Elephas maximus indicus: one gene and its partner. The protein of the gene in region 1 interacts with the protein of each later gene in a pairwise test. Links are inferred from orthologs where the notes say so. Each region holds a gene or a part of one and is shown on either strand. Other genes may lie near its edges.

Region 1 (7,451 bases):
CTGCTAACCAAAAGGTTGGCAGTTCGAATCCACCAGCTGCTCCTTGGAAACCATATGGGGCAGTTCTACCCTGTCCTGTAGAGTTGCTATGCGTTGGAATCACCTTGACAGCAGTGGGTTTGTTTTTTTTTAATATGCGCTTTGCTGGTTTTGCTTATCTGAAATACCCAGCCTCGCTAGAGGTATGGGCTAGCAATTCTGAAACTACCTACCTACCTGTGTGTGTGTGTGTGTGTGTGTATACATACACGTTACAGTTCAACAAATAATCTATTATAGATGAGAGCCACGGTTTCTTATTGCTAGAAGTAAAAGTTACAAATCAAATGGAGGAAGGCTGGAATGAACCCTGTGGGACTGGATTAAAGTTGGAGGTATCAGGATGAATTTATAACTGTGTTTACTATATATGCAGACAGAAATATAGAGATGTATACGTGTGTGTGTATGTATATACATACACACATACATACATTTCCTTTTTTTATCTACGGAGCAGGACCAGAAGCAGTGACACCCCAATAGTGATGACCATATCTTGCACTCCAATCTTGGTTTCTAAATACAATCCTCCAATAAAAAGAACTAGGCCTTCTGGGAAAAACGAGTTGGTTCCAGGGCTTGGGCAGGGAAAATACAAGATGAGCCTGGAGCAATCTGTGGTGCCAGAAAGTAGGAAGTGCCCAAATAAAAAAGGATGGGAGTGTGTTGAGAGAGCACAGGAACCAAACTGAAAGGGCTCCAAATGGCCAAACCTGGAACAACTTGAGCAACAAAGTAATGATGGTATTGAATTATAATCCAAAGAATAAAATAATTTTGAGCCCATTTTAACTAAAAAAAAAAAAAGCTGCCACTGAGTCAACTCCGACTCATGGTGAACCCATGTATGTCAGAGTAGAACTGCTTCATAGGGTTTTCAGGGGTAGATTTTTCAGAAGTAGATTGCCAGGCCTTCCTTCCGATGTACCTCTGGGTGGACTCGAACCACCAGCCTTTTGGTTGGTAGCCAAGCAGCTAACCGTTTGTACCACCCAGGGACTTGAATATCCAAAAACTAACTGAAGAAATAAATGTGGAGAAAGGAGAACCTTTTCTTACAGGAGGATTCCAATAAATAAATGTGGAAGTATAGAAATGAGAAATCACCATTGGACACCACAGCACTAATTGCCATAGGCAAGATCCACTGTTAAAAAAAAAAAAAAACCAAACCCAGTGCTGCCAAGTCAATTCCGACTCATAGTGACCCACTGTTAGATGGTAAAATTTTGTGGTCAGAATTTAAGCAGAAGTAGGATATTTGCATAATCTTGAAGTATCTGCCTTAAATATTAATTACAAAGGGAAAAACAGTAAGTTTAGATACCGCCTTAAGGAAATGGTCAAAGTTAATATATGTGGTATGCAACCCCTGAAATGACTCCTAATGATCCCCACATTCTGGTATTCACAACCTTGTATAATCCCCTCCTCTTGAGTGTAGGTGATGGGATGCAATTTCTGAGATAGGTTCCAAAGAGACTGGCTTCCATCCTGCTTGCTCTCTTGCTTTCTTATTTGTTCTGTGATGAAAATCAGCAGCCATGTTGTGAGCTGCCTTATGGAGAGACCACCAGCCAAAGCCAGTGAAGAATATAGCCCTCAGTCCAACTTCTTGTGAGGAACTGAATCTTGCCAACAATCCCTGCCCCAGTCAAGCCTTCAGATGAGACTGCAACCATCTCTGCCAACACCTGATTACAGTCTGTTAAGAGACCTTGAGGCAGAAGCATCCTGCTAAAGTGCCTGGACTACTGACTCAACAGAAACAGATAATAAATGTTCATTCACTAAGTTGTGGGTGATTTGTTATGTGGCAGTCCATACCTAAGACAATCAGTAACACATTTCAAAATCATCTACCACTTGATATGATGCACCAGGAAGGGCACATTGCTTCTGGTATTCTTCCTGGTGATACATAATTCAATTTAATTGTGAGAAATTAGACAAACACATCATGACAATATTGGAATGAGAGACATTCTACTCTTCAGAAGAGTCTGTCATGAAAGACAAGGAACTGTCACATATTGGAGGAGACATGACAATGAGAGATTCTGAAACCAAAAAAAAAAAAAAATATTCAAAAACCTGGGGAAATCTAGAAAAAAGTCTGTAGTATAGCTAATAGTATTGTACTGATGTTTATTTCTTAGATTTGATAATTTTTCTATGGCAGGTTTTCTCAACCTTGGCATTATTGACATTTTGGGCTGGATAATTCTTGTATGTAGGGGTGCTGTGTAGTGTAGGATGTTTAGCCAGCATCTTTGGCCTCTGTTAGGGATTGAATTGTATCCCCCTAAAATGTGTGTCAACTTGGCTAGGCCATGACTCCCTGTATTGTGTGGTGGTTCACCATTTTGTCATCTGATGTGATTACCCTTTGTGTTGTAAATCCTAATCTCTATGATGTTAATGAGACAGGATTAGAGACAGTTATCTTAATGAGGCAGGAGGCAATCTACAGGATTAGGTTGTACTTTGAATCTCTTTTGAGATATAAAAGAATCAAGAAGAGAGGAGAGGGACCTCATACCACCAAGAAAGAAGTGCCAGGAGCAGAGTGCTTCCTTTGGACCCAGGTTCCCTGCACTGAGAATCTCCTAGATCAGGGGAAGATTGATGACAAAGACCTTCCCCCAGAACTGAGAGAGAAAGCCTTTCCCTGGAGCTGCTGCCCTGAATTTGGACTTCTAGACTCCTAGACTGTGAGGGAATAAATTTCTCTTTGTTAAAGCCATCCACTTGTATTTCTGTTACAGCAGCACTAGATAACTAAAACAACCTCTACCCACTAGATGCCAGTAGTATCCCCGCCCTCCACCCCCCCCATCTGTGACAACAAAAATGTCTGAAGACATTGCCAGCTGTCCCCTGGGGGGCAAAAGTGCCCTGGTTGAATACTATTTTATTGTTATGTAAGATGCTAACAGAAGGGAAAGCTGGGTGAAGAGTATTTGGGAACTCTAGTACTGGGTTTGGTTTTGGTGGTATGACTTGCTTTTTTCACCCAGCATCATTTAAACGTCACGTCAAACTGATGAACCAAACCCATTGCCATCAAGTCGATTCCAACTCATAGAGACCCTATAGGTCAGAGTAGAACTGCCCCATAGGGTTTCCAAGGAGTGCCTGGTGGATTTGAACTACTGACCTTTTGGTTAGCAGCTGTAGCACTTAACCACTGTGCCACCAGGGTTTCCATCAATCTGATGAGGTATGTATTATTTCTCATCCCCCTTTTGTAGATGGGGAAGCTGAAGTGCAGAAGCTAAGTAATTTGCTCAAGGTCATAGCAAGTGGCTAAGTGGAGTTTTGAGTCCAAGCAGTGTGGCTCCAGGGTGTGCTTTTAACCTTCTATCATATCCTGCCTCTAATTTGTTCTGGACTTGATTCCCTATGCGTTCATGTCACTGTGCAACATTTTTTAAATGGTCATTATAGGGTACACGCTACAGATAACTGTCATTGAACTCTTCTCTTAATGTCTGACTTCTGTATCTCTCTCCCGCCTGCAATTCCCCAGAGCTGAGTCTCCAACCACCTACTCAATGCCCCACGGGCACCGCAGACTCGATTTTAAACTGACTCAAACTGAGCTCATCATCCTTCCCTCTCCGCCCTACCCACGCCTTCCCCCCCCCCGCAAAGTGTTCCCACCTGAGTGGCAATGCCAGCACCCATCAGCCACCCAGGACGAGGGAAGATTGAGATTGACAGAGAATGTGATGTAAGTAGGTCCCAAAGGAGATGTAAGGTGTTTGGGTCAGTAGCATAGGGAAGTGTTAGCCTTGCACAGAATAAAAGGGGGACGGGTTAGCTTTGGACATCTGGAGGAAACAGGTGGGACGAGGGAGGATGGAGAAGCCAAATTTAGGCTTCTGGATTCTTAGCCACTCCTCACCAAGGTAACTGGGTTGCTATGGCAACAGGACAGTCAGCACCGCAACTCCCAAGTACCTCGTCGGCTGCCGTTATCCCCATACTAGCCAGACACTTCCGCTTGGGTAGAAATCAAGGGATTGCCAGCCTTCAGGAATGGTTTACGAAGGCGGGAATAGCCACTGCGGTAGCCAATCAGTAAGCTCTTTCCTGCCCGAGCGGGCTGTGCGGCGAAGGACGCAAAGGAGTGGTCGGGACTTCTTTGGAGCTCGCCTAAGGGCGTTGAGAAGGGCCGGCTTGAGTCCCTTCCCTGCCACTTAGGGGCCGAGGGGGCGGGGCCCAGATAAGATGTGGGAGGAGCCGCCCACCCTCGCTTCTGTCCAATAAGAAGCCAGGAAGGGAGTCCCGACGGTTGGGGTATCCAGTGAGCGTCGCCCCAAGGTCCGGGTGCGGGGGCGCACCGAGCCAATCGGCGGTGGCGGCGGGCGGGCGCGGGAGACCTAGGCGGTGCGGCGGAGGCGGAGCGGGCGCTGCGGCAGGAGCGAAGATGGCGGACGAAGAGAAGCTGCCGCCCGGCTGGGAGAAGCGCATGAGCCGCAGCTCAGGTGCCTCAGGGGCTGGGGCTGGGGTAGGATCGCGCGGGCCCATGGAAGCAGGGATCGAGCTTGCCCTTCGGGCGCGGCGCCGCCGCTTCTTTCCTGTGGGGTTTTGGCTTCTCTGCGTCGATCCCGGGGAACGGCCCGGGCACATTCGGTGGCTGCTGTGGGCCTCAGGAGTGGGGAAGCTGAGGCACGGCGGCGCCAGGGAGGCTTAGCGCGCTGAGGGGTGGGTGAGGGGCCGGTGAGCTCACACACTTCCCGGGCGATGGCCCTGTCCCTGCCCACCCGGCCGACACGCCCGGGCCTAATTCGGCTGAAGTCCCGTGGGTGGACATCTTTACATCCCTCCGGGCCCGGAGGCATCACAGGGGCGACACCCCAACCCCATCCACAGGATGTGGCCCCAGCGTGTTTCCCGACCCAGAAGCCATAACCCCTGGCGTCCACATCTAATGCTGAGTCTGCAATGTCCCCCGTTATCCTGCTTGAGGCTGGCCCCTGTGCCCTGGGCTGAATTTAAAGGTTATCGCCAATAGTAGGCCACGTTTATCTCTGCTCCAGGCATTGTGCCAAGCATTTTAAGCGTGTTCTCTCCAAATCGCCACAACTGTGGGAGGGAGGTAGTTGTTACCTCCATTTTGTAGGTGAAGAAACTGAGGCCAGAACTTAAGGAACTCGCCTGAGGTCATTCAGTTCAGGGAGCGTAGACTGGGCTCCAGAGCTGCCTGCCCACAGCCACTTCACTGCAAGCTCTGGAGGAGCAAGCCCACTTCCTGGTTGTGTTTGGGGAGTCACTGCATTGCCTCAAAGTCTCTAGTAACCTCAGTAATAATTCCTGTTTACTTGGAGTGTTTGGAAACCCTAGTGGCATGTGGTTAAGAGCTATGGCTGCTAACCAAAAGGTCTGCAGCTCGAATCCACAATGCGCTCCTTGGAAACCCTGTAGGGCAGTTCTACTTGTGCTATAGAGTTGCTATGAGTCAGAATCAACTCGATGGCAATGGGTTTGGTTCTGTTAGAGAGCTTACCATGTGTCTGGCACTCTGGTGAGCACTTCGTGTGCATCATCAACTCTCCACATTAATCCCATGAGATTTGATGTCCTTATTCTCTCACCCCCACTTTTCAGATGAGAAAGCAGAGATTCGGGGAGGTAGAGCCCATTGCCACGATTTTAGAGTTTAAGTCAGTGGCTCAACTGGATTTGCCCTCAGAGCCCATGCCATTGCCCACCCTGTTCCTGCCCTGGCCTTTGACTGGCACCTACAGCATAAACCTCATGCTCCGCCCACCTCTGGGCCCTCATTCATGCCATTTCTATTCAGCTGGACCCTGACAGCCTTCCTTGGGGGTGACAGCCGGTCCTTAATGGTGATGGGCCCAAGTGTGTGCATGGAACAGAGTAAACAGTAAGGAAGTGTTACCTGTTACTGCCATTACTAAAGATGGGGAAGGCGAGGCCTCAATTTTGTCATCTATAAAAGGAGATGATAACAGCTATCACACTGTTGATGTGTTCCAGGCGCTGTTTTAAGCCGTTTACAGATGTGAGCTTATTCAGTCTTTACAACAACCATACAGTCAGGTATTGTTATGTCCATTTTACAGGTGAGAAAACTGAGGTCCAGGGAAGGTAGATCATTGGGTAAGTGGCAGGGCTGGATTTGAACCCAGACAGGCGGTCTGCTGAATGAATGCTTTGAATCAGTCTCCTGTCTCCCAGGTTTGCCTTGTTCCGCCACCCTGGGTTATTTTCCTCCTTGAAGTTACCAGCGACTGAAGTTATCTTATTTGCTTGTTTAGTGTCTGTCTGCCCCCACTTAGAATGTTAGCTCCATAAGATAGGTGTTAAAAATGGCATGTTAGGGGCATCTGACCTTCTCTAACTTCGTGAGAGGGAGAGAGAATTGCCATCCACATCAGCCCCACGCTGATTCCTATGAGGGTGGAGGTCAGACATACTGCCTGTTTCCAGTCTTTTTACCAATTCTGACACCAGCTATACCTCCGACAGCACTCTCTGCTACTGTGCTGGGTTTGATAGTCCATTGCAGTGGCTAAACAGAACTCACAGATCATACTCATAGTTATGGGGTGTATTAGAGAAGTAGTTGTTGTTAGGTGCCGTCAAGTCAGTTCTGACTCATAGCAACCCTATGTACAATAGAACAAAACACTGCCTGGTCCAGTACCATCCTCAAAGTCGTTGCTGTTTGAGCCTGTTGGGTGCTCAGGCAAGTGTTAAACAAAGCTCTTTAGCTCTGCTAATAAGTACCCAGAGGCACTCCACTCCTCCAGGAAGGCTCCTGCCCAAAGGTGCTTAGCTCTCTCACTCCGTGGGTCAGCACACCCACTGTAACCGTATTACTCCGTGGGCTGGGAGGCCCACTGCACCATCTTGCACCAGCCTCCTGGTTCTTCTGCTGTTTCTCTGCTGCCACTTCTCGCTAAGTTGTACTTTTATAGCTCTCTATCTTTGTCTGTTGGGTCTAGGAGATTCTCAGCATGCTCTGCTCCCATTTCTTATTTTTGGTGGTAGTGAGGTCCTCCCTTTCCACCTATGGGATGGCTCATTTTAAGCCTAGTGGAATGGCAAAACTGACCAATCCCCTTGTTAGGGTTCCATACATCTTATTTACATGGTCCCACCCAATCATGTGGTGAGAGTTACAAGACCATGGCAAGAAAGGCCATATAAAAGCAATCCATCACGCTACAGCAGGGTTATGTCCTGCCAAGTTGGCTCCAGTGTCCCCGGGCCTGTGGCACATGGTGGGTGCACAGTTTATTTGCTTAATGAAGGCATGTCTGTACCCTGGCCTCTGGTTAGGGCTCCAGGGTGGCATCTGCGAGCACAGCCCTAACTGAATTCCCATCTCTCCTCCCTTCCAGGCCGGGTGTACTACTTCAATCACATCACTA
Region 2 (7,598 bases), on another chromosome or scaffold:
CGTTACACCACTGTATCCTTTCAGAAAGGAGTTCTGGTGGCAGTGATTAAAGTGATCGACTGGCAACTGCAAGTTGGGCTGTTTGACACCACCAGTGGCTCTGCAGGAGAAAAGCAGTAGTCTGCTTCCGTAGAGGTTTACGACCTTGGAAACCCTATGGGGTCACTATAAGTCGGAATCAATAGCAATAGGTTTGTCTGGGTTCCCTCAGAGACTTCTGTGGGGCATGGGGGGGGGTGGGCAACAGGCACCAGAGCCCCACCCTGGAGTCCCTGCCTCTTGGACAGGTGTGGGCTGCTACCTGTCCACCTGTGCAGCCGTGAGGAGGAACTGCAGGAAGAGAATGGGGTTTCTAGTCCAGGCAGGCAAGAGCTTGGGCTCCAGGGTCTGTGCCTTCTGGGGGCTGCAAGGACTTCTAGCCCACTGCCTGGTAGCCGTTTCCTGGGGAATGAACCTGAGACTCAAGGGGGTCCCCCAGCCCCATTGAAGCCAAACAGCAGGCCTCATTCTCACATCTGTTTTATTATGGCATCTGGTCAGGTCTGGTGGACACAGTTCATTTGGGTCCCTCTTGGGCAGAATCAGAGGGAGAGGAGGCTGGCACTGCCTCTCTGTCAGCTGGAGCCCAGTGCCCATCCCTCAGGCCAAGCTGCTGCCCAGCTGCATGGCAAAGTCCTGCACGTGCTCCTTCAGAGTCTGGCGGGCGTCAGCCTGTGCCCGCTTCTCCCGCGCCCGCTCCTGCTGCAGCTTGGTGAGGCGCAGCCGTAGCCGCTGCTCCCGTCGCTTGCAGGCCTGCAGCTGGCGCTGGGCCTTGTCCAGGGCATCGAGGGCTGCCTCGGCCCGCCTCTTCCAGAGCAGGGCACTGCCCACCTGATAGCTGTGCTCATTTTGGATGTAGGCCCCCGCGGGGGGTGGCAGGCGCAGCATGTACGCTGAGGGGGAGACAGGCCGAGGCTCCAGAGGGGAGGGCTGCCGCTCCGGCTCGCACTCCGGAGAAGGCTGGGTGCTGCAGCCTGCTTCATCTGCCTGGGCGCCCAGGGGCCCCAGGAGGTCTGAGAAGGGGCTGCTGAGGCCAGGCTCCAGCCTCCCAGCTGGAGAGGTCGGCAAAGCCGCAGGTGCTGAGGCCTCTTCTACGGGAAAGCAGGGGATGTCAGCAGGTGGAGGAGGAGAAAATGGAGTTGTGGGTCCACGGCCTTCAGAGCAGCTAGGGAGAGAAAGAACCTGACAAGCTGGGCCAAGGCCCTGCCAGACCTCATTTCACTAGCCCACCTGAGCGCCCCCACACACAGCTGGGCTCAGGACACTGCTCTCAGAACACCAGCAGGCACCCCACATCCCAGGCCCTCAGACTGCAGTAAGGGAGTGCAGCGGGGCTGCCCCCACCTGTAGCACATACCGTTTCCTGCATCGCTGGAGCCGACTGACTTCAGGAGGACCAGGTGGGTAACTGCGCCCCTTAGTCTTGCATGTCCGACGCAACTTGGAGAAAGACTCAAATATCGTGGGGACCGCCCCTTCCTTCAGCCTGTGATACCCGCTATGGGAAAAGCAGCCCGGATGAGCTGAGAGCAGATGCTGCCCCCACAGGCGGACCTGCCCTGGGCAGGGTGCCCCGCCAGCACCCCGGGGCAGGGTCCCTGGGCACCCTGGGGGAGGCAGGGAGGCAGACTGCGATAGGTAGCCTGGGGAGCGCAAGCGCCGGCAGTGAGACAATCTCCCCCCTGCAGGCCTCCTTGGAGCTAATGTGGCGAGAGACTCCCCAGCAGGGCCGGGGTGAGCAGCACAGGGGATTCTTTAATTTGTGCGCTTGCTGACAGTACTGAAGTTCTAAACAACAGTCTCTGGAAGGACTAATATTTTTTCTCTGCGTCACTGGCCCGATGATCCCGTCTTCATTAGTTAGAAGACAACTGGACGAGGCCGAACCGCCCTCGGAGCCTCGCCTTATTCGCTGCGCCAGGGCCCTCCTCATCGGCCACCCTCCGCCCGGCTTCTCCCACACCCACAGCCCACGCCCGACCCCGCTGGCCGCGAGGAGGCCCACCTGATTCCCACCAGCTCGAAGCAATTCTCTTCGAAGTGCTTGGAACAGAAGTAGATGTACTCGGACGCCGGGTCCCACAGGCCCTGGCCGCTCGGGTCCAGCCGCTGGCAGTTGGCCAACCACAAGCCTCGTCGCGGGTTGTCTTTCTTGGGAAGTCTGCGGAGCCACACACCCCTGAGCGCCGGGCCGCCGGCCGCGCGGGCTCATGCCGCCCGGGGCCCTGGGCAGAAAGGGCAGGCGCCGCGCACAGCGCCGGGCACGGAGTGAAGCCTCGAGGAGGCCAGCAGCTGGTTCAGCGTCACCTAGCGGTGAGAGTCAGGGAGCAGTGGGCCCACACCTCCCGCCCCTTCCTTCCCTTACAGATCGCGGTCCCACCGGCACCGCCCCCCTCACCCTCTCTCACCGGTGACTTCAAGCCTCGCCCCCGCCTGACGGAGGCCCGGGGCACATGCGCAGCCGGCGCCCAGAGCGGCGCGCGAGCCCAGCGCATGCGCACGCGAGCCTTCGCGCGGCAGCACGCACGCGCGCTGACCTGTGGAAGGAGATGCCGCGGTTGCGCGTTTCGCGCGTGTCCCGTGTGCAGCAGCCGGCGGCGGAACAGTGACGCGGCATCTGGGGGAGAGGCAGGAGCTTGGGCAAGGGCGTCTGTCCGGGCCCGCAGGGGCCTCGCGCCCCAACCGCCGCTCCGCTCCAGGGGCCCTGGCTTGTCGGGGCTCCCCCGGCCCTATCTTGCCCCAGCCCGGCCTCTGAACTCCTGTCAGCTGCACTCACGGTGTCGCCATTGCTGCGCCGCCGAAGTCTCGCGATGGGTGGCGCGCGGCGGAAATTGGCACCATAGAGACGGAGGAGCGGACGCGCGCGGCGCTCGGCTGTGGGCGGGACGGGAAGCGGGCGTGGCTGGCTGGCGAGTGGGCCAGGCCCGCGCGGCAAACGCGCTCCCGGTGCTGTCTTTTCGGCGCCCGCGCGGATCTGTGAGTTGCCCGGCGCCGACCGAGGGGCGCGTGATGGCGGCTGCCTTCCAGCTCTGGGGCGCACAGCCTACTGCACCGGCACCCACGGGAGCTGAGGGTCCCTAACTGCACAGAAGAAACCCCGATGACGAGAAGCGGCCGGGACGCTTGCCCGGAACCCCCTGGCAGACACCAGTGCTCAGAGCTTACTCCGGGATACCGGCCAGGGACTTCAGGCAGAGGGACGCCGGTGCGTCGGGCGGCCGTCACTAGTTACAGGGAAGTGTGATGGGCTGGAGGGCGCCGGTGGCAGCCTCGGACAGGAGCGCGGGGAGGCCGGAAGGATGGGCGTTTCCGACCTGGGTCTGCGCTGCCCTGGAGAAGCGGCGGGACCGGGCTCCACGCCGCCAAGCCGGGGTGCAGAGTCATCCCATGATTTCAGAAAGCTCTCTTTGGGCGAAAAAGGCAGATTGCCGTCCCGAGAACACCAAGTATGGCGAGCTAAAGACTTTATATTATTTGAGTAAAGCATTTTTCCGATTCCCTCAACCGAGCCTTTTGAGGCTTTTCTGGAGGTAATGTAAGTTACCAATTAAATGTGCACAGACATGCTTAATTTGTTCTTTTGAGAAGAAATAAACGGATGTTTCCCCTCTAGAAATCTCTTTGAAAAGCCAGGTATCTGGATTGGGAATTTTGTCAAAATGAAGCACAAGAGACGGGACGCCTCAATACAGAAATTTTAATAGATAAATCTGTAAATTACAGTCGGGGAGATACAAATAAATGGCTGCCAGCCACACTCCATCTAGTATTCTTCCCCTTCCTCGGCCTCTGCTTCCACGGAGTCCACGCCCACCTCTTCATAATCCTTCTCCAGCGCCGCCAGGTCCTCCCGGGCCTCCGAGAACTCGCCTTCCTCCATGCCTTCCCCCACGTACCAGTGCACAAAGGCGCGCTTGGCATACATGAGGTCGAACTTGTGGTCGAGGCGAGCCCAGGCCTCGGCGATGGCCGTGGTGTTGCTCAGCATGCACACGGCGCGCTGCACCTTGGCCAGGTCTCCCCCGGGGACGACGGTGGGGGGCTGGTAGTTGATGCCCACCTGTCACACAAGGGGAAGACAGAAGATAAGGTTAATACTGCTCTCAGAAATGATAGCTTAAAAAAAAAGCTGTGGGTCCAGTTTAAGTAATTACTGTAGACACAAAGATGACCACAAAACCAGCATATGATTACATATGTATGAGTATAGGCAAATAAGTATACGGGTAGGTACAGGTGTGCACGTAAGTGTGCACAGGTCGTAGTATCTATACACGTTGAGTACAGATATGTGTGTGCAGGCACATATATTGAAAGAAGACATAATTACTGATACTTCTCGGACATAACTGAACACTTTGTGGGATTGGTTTTCTAAGTTTGTAGGAAGAGGACCTTAGTCTCATGGGACAACTCCATCAATTGGCACAATATAGTTCACAAAGTTCATGTGCTGCATCCCAGTGAAGTGAGTAGTATCTGGGATCTTAAAAGTCTGCAAGCAGCCATCTAAGATATAACTATCGGTCTCTACTTGTCAGGAGCCAAAGAATATGAAGGTAACCAAAAATCACAGAGAGGAAACAAGTCTATAAGGCTAATTGCCTACACAAGCATGACCTCAACTACCCTGAGAACAGAAAAACGAGATGGTGCCCAGCTACCACCACTGACTTACCCAACCAGGGTCACAATACATGATCCTGGTTGAATGGGAGAAAAAGGCAGATCAAAATTCAAATTTATAAAAATGGCCAGATTAACTGGACCACTGAGACCAAAAGACTCCTTGAGGCTATTGCCCTGAGACGCTTTTCAAAACCTTGAATCAAAACTCCCTGAGATCACCTTTTAACAGAAAAGCATCAGGCTCCTGAAAATTTTGGGACCCATGCAGGAGACTGGATTAATGGCAGGACTGTGGAGAGAGCAACACACATTCAAAGCAGCATTGTTAGACATCATCTCTGAGTGGAGCACTTGGTCAAAATCCAAGGCAAGAGACCTGGTTGCTATGCAACAATGCCCTCATTTAAGTCGGCAATTACTGAACAGTTCCAAACTGATTCCAAGCGCTGCTCGAAACTAATGTCTATCATAGAGAATTAAATTATCATGTCAGTTTGTCATGCTGTGGTGGCTTGTGTGTTGCTGGAAGTTATACCAACGAGTATTTCAGAAACCAGCAGGGTCACCCATGAACTTTTCAGTGGAGCTTCCCAACTAAGAGACTAGAAAGAAAGACCCGGTTATCTACTTCCGAATTCTGAATATTAGTGAATAGAAACCTTATGGATCAGAAAAGCACGTTATTTGACTCGCCTGCTTTGGCTACATTATCAGGAGGGATCAACTACTAGAGGAAGACATCATGTTTGGTGAAGTAGAGGGCCAGTGAGGGCAAGGGAGACCCTCAGTGAGATGGACTGTCACAGTAGCCACAATGATGGACTGACACATGATGGTGATTGTGATGATGATACTGAGCCGGGTAACATTTTGTTCTGTTGTACATAAGGCTGCCCTGTGTCAGAGTCAGCAACTAACATCATCATCAAGAGTTAATACAGTTACACAGTAAAACACCATCTATGGTCATTAAAAAGAACTCTGTAGTCTCCAAGGTGCACTGTTATGCAAAAAGTAAAGCAGCTGTATGTGCCAGGCACTGAGCTTGACAGTAACTTTTCCCCATTTCTCAGGGAGGATCAGAGAGGATTGGTCAGTTGTCTGCTCAAGGTCACAGAGCCATGCGTAGTAGAGCCAAAATACAAATACTGTTGGCCAGACACTGGCACTTGAGCACTTAACCATTTTACTATTCTAAAAACTAATGTTATGATTGAATTTTGTCCCCCAAAAGAAATTCAGAAGTTCTAACCCCTGTACCTGTACATATGATCTGTTTCGAAATAGTTTTCGTTTGTTGTGTTAATGAAGCTATACCAAAGTAGGGTGGGTCCTAAACATCATTTCTGAGTGGTACAGAAAAAGCAGAATAGACAAACAGGCTATGGATTGAATTATATCCCCCCAAAAATCTGTGTATCAACTTCGTTAGGCCATGTGTGGTTGTCCTCCGTTTTGTGATTGTAATTTTATGTCACGAGGATTAAGGTGGGATTGTAATACTACCCTTAGTCAGGTCACCTCCTTGATCCAAGGTGAAGGGAGTTTCCCTGGGGTGTGGCCTGTACCACCTTGTATCTCTCAAGAGATGAAAGGGAAGCAAGCAGAGAGTTGGGGACCTCGTACCACCAAGAAAACAGCACGAGGAGCAGAGCGCATCCTTTGGACATGGGGTCCCTGTTCCTGAGAAGCTCCTCGACCAGGGGAAGATTGAGGACGAGGACCTTCCTTCCAGAGCCGACAGAGAAAGAAAGCCTTCCCCTGGAGCCGACACCCTGAATTTGGACTTGTAACCTACTAGACTGAGAAAATAAATTTCTCTTTGTTAAAGTCATCCACTTGTGGTATTTCTGTTATGGCAGCACTAGATGACTAAAACACCACATGAAGATTTGTCTGCAATCAGAGGAACAACAAGGATTGCTGGCAGACACCAGAAACTAGGAGAGAGGTCCAAAGAAGTAACTGGCACGACCAGGACCCTGATTTGGACTTTTAGCCTCTGGAACGGTTCTTTAAAGCCAAAAAAAAAAAAAAAATAAAGCAAGTTCAAGAATGCTACGTAATTATTCTTAGGCTTCAAAAAAACCAACACAGTAACAGACACAGGCTGGCACCTTGGATGGCAAGGGGAACAGCATAATGGAGGATAAAAAACAAAGGACCATGCTGAGGTGGTGACGCTGCCCTGCCCTGCCCCGATGGGTAAGCAGCACCTAGTCTCCAGAAGAGCTGGGAGTGGCAGGGAGAAGGGCACAGGGGACTTCTCACTCTGACCTAGGGGTACCCTGCAGCTCTAAGGCCAGCTGGCCTCTCCAAGTGGGAGTGTTGCCATCTTCCTGGTCTTTCTGGCCACGTATATGTAGTGAGTTGAATCTGTAACCTGCTCGAAAGGAAAGGGCATCCTTAGTCTGTGTCTGTTGGCATCTCTTGAAGGATAAACAAAAACCTCTGGGAAGGGGATGAGGACTTCAGTTTTTCAGGCTTCTACATTGTTTTAACATTTTACCACATACATATTATAATAAACATTTTTAAACATTGCAAAGACGCCTTGACAGTAAGTGTCCTGAGTAAATGGCTGTTAAGGAGTATATGGTGAAAGCACGCTCAGAATGACAAGAAAGAACTCACAGCAGAGGTTCATTTGGGTCTGGACCTTTCTGTGGGGACAGGAGGGGACTACGACTTCCTGTACCGGCCCCACAGTCTGGCCTTGCTAGTGGCTCACAAAAGCCAGAGACTCAGCCAGGTAGAAACCCAGACAATAGCACACATCTCCCACAGTGCCTCCCAGCTGAGGGCCTTGGATGTTCTCCCCTTCCAAAGTCGCACTAGAAGAAAAATGTCTGTTCTAGTTGAGAAGCTTGGTAATTAGACACGTGGAATGGAAGTTTTCATTACCTACCTGTAACCTCCAAGGTCTGCAA

What was found. The genes of interacting proteins can lie anywhere in the genome.
Region 2: the proteins of PIN1 (region 1) and THAP7 interact in binary tests that used the Homo sapiens proteins (3 or more experiments, as listed by UniProt). The two-hybrid records come from large-scale screens. The link is inferred for Elephas maximus indicus from reciprocal best matches to the Homo sapiens genes PIN1 and THAP7.

What each region holds. Positions count from the first base shown.
Region 1 is NC_064821.1:28,010,641-28,018,091, forward strand, and holds the start of PIN1 (peptidyl-prolyl cis-trans isomerase NIMA-interacting 1), read left to right. Parts: upstream 1-4,435; 5' UTR 4,436-4,477; coding exon 4,478-4,535; intron 4,536-7,421; coding exon 7,422-7,451. UniProt on the Homo sapiens protein: Peptidyl-prolyl cis/trans isomerase (PPIase) that binds to and isomerizes specific phosphorylated Ser/Thr-Pro (pSer/Thr-Pro) motifs.
Region 2 is NC_064840.1:21,509,981-21,517,578, forward strand, and holds THAP7 (THAP domain-containing protein 7), read right to left. Parts: upstream 2,862-7,598; 5' UTR 2,816-2,861; intron 2,657-2,815; coding exon 2,577-2,656; intron 2,201-2,576; coding exon 2,045-2,200; intron 1,538-2,044; coding exon 1,397-1,537; exon of another isoform or gene 1,290-1,396; intron 1,205-1,289; coding exon 640-1,204; 3' UTR 503-639; downstream 1-502. Other genes in the region: tubulin alpha-3 chain-like, read right to left, coding at 3,803-4,099. UniProt on the Homo sapiens protein: Chromatin-associated, histone tail-binding protein that represses transcription via recruitment of HDAC3 and nuclear hormone receptor corepressors.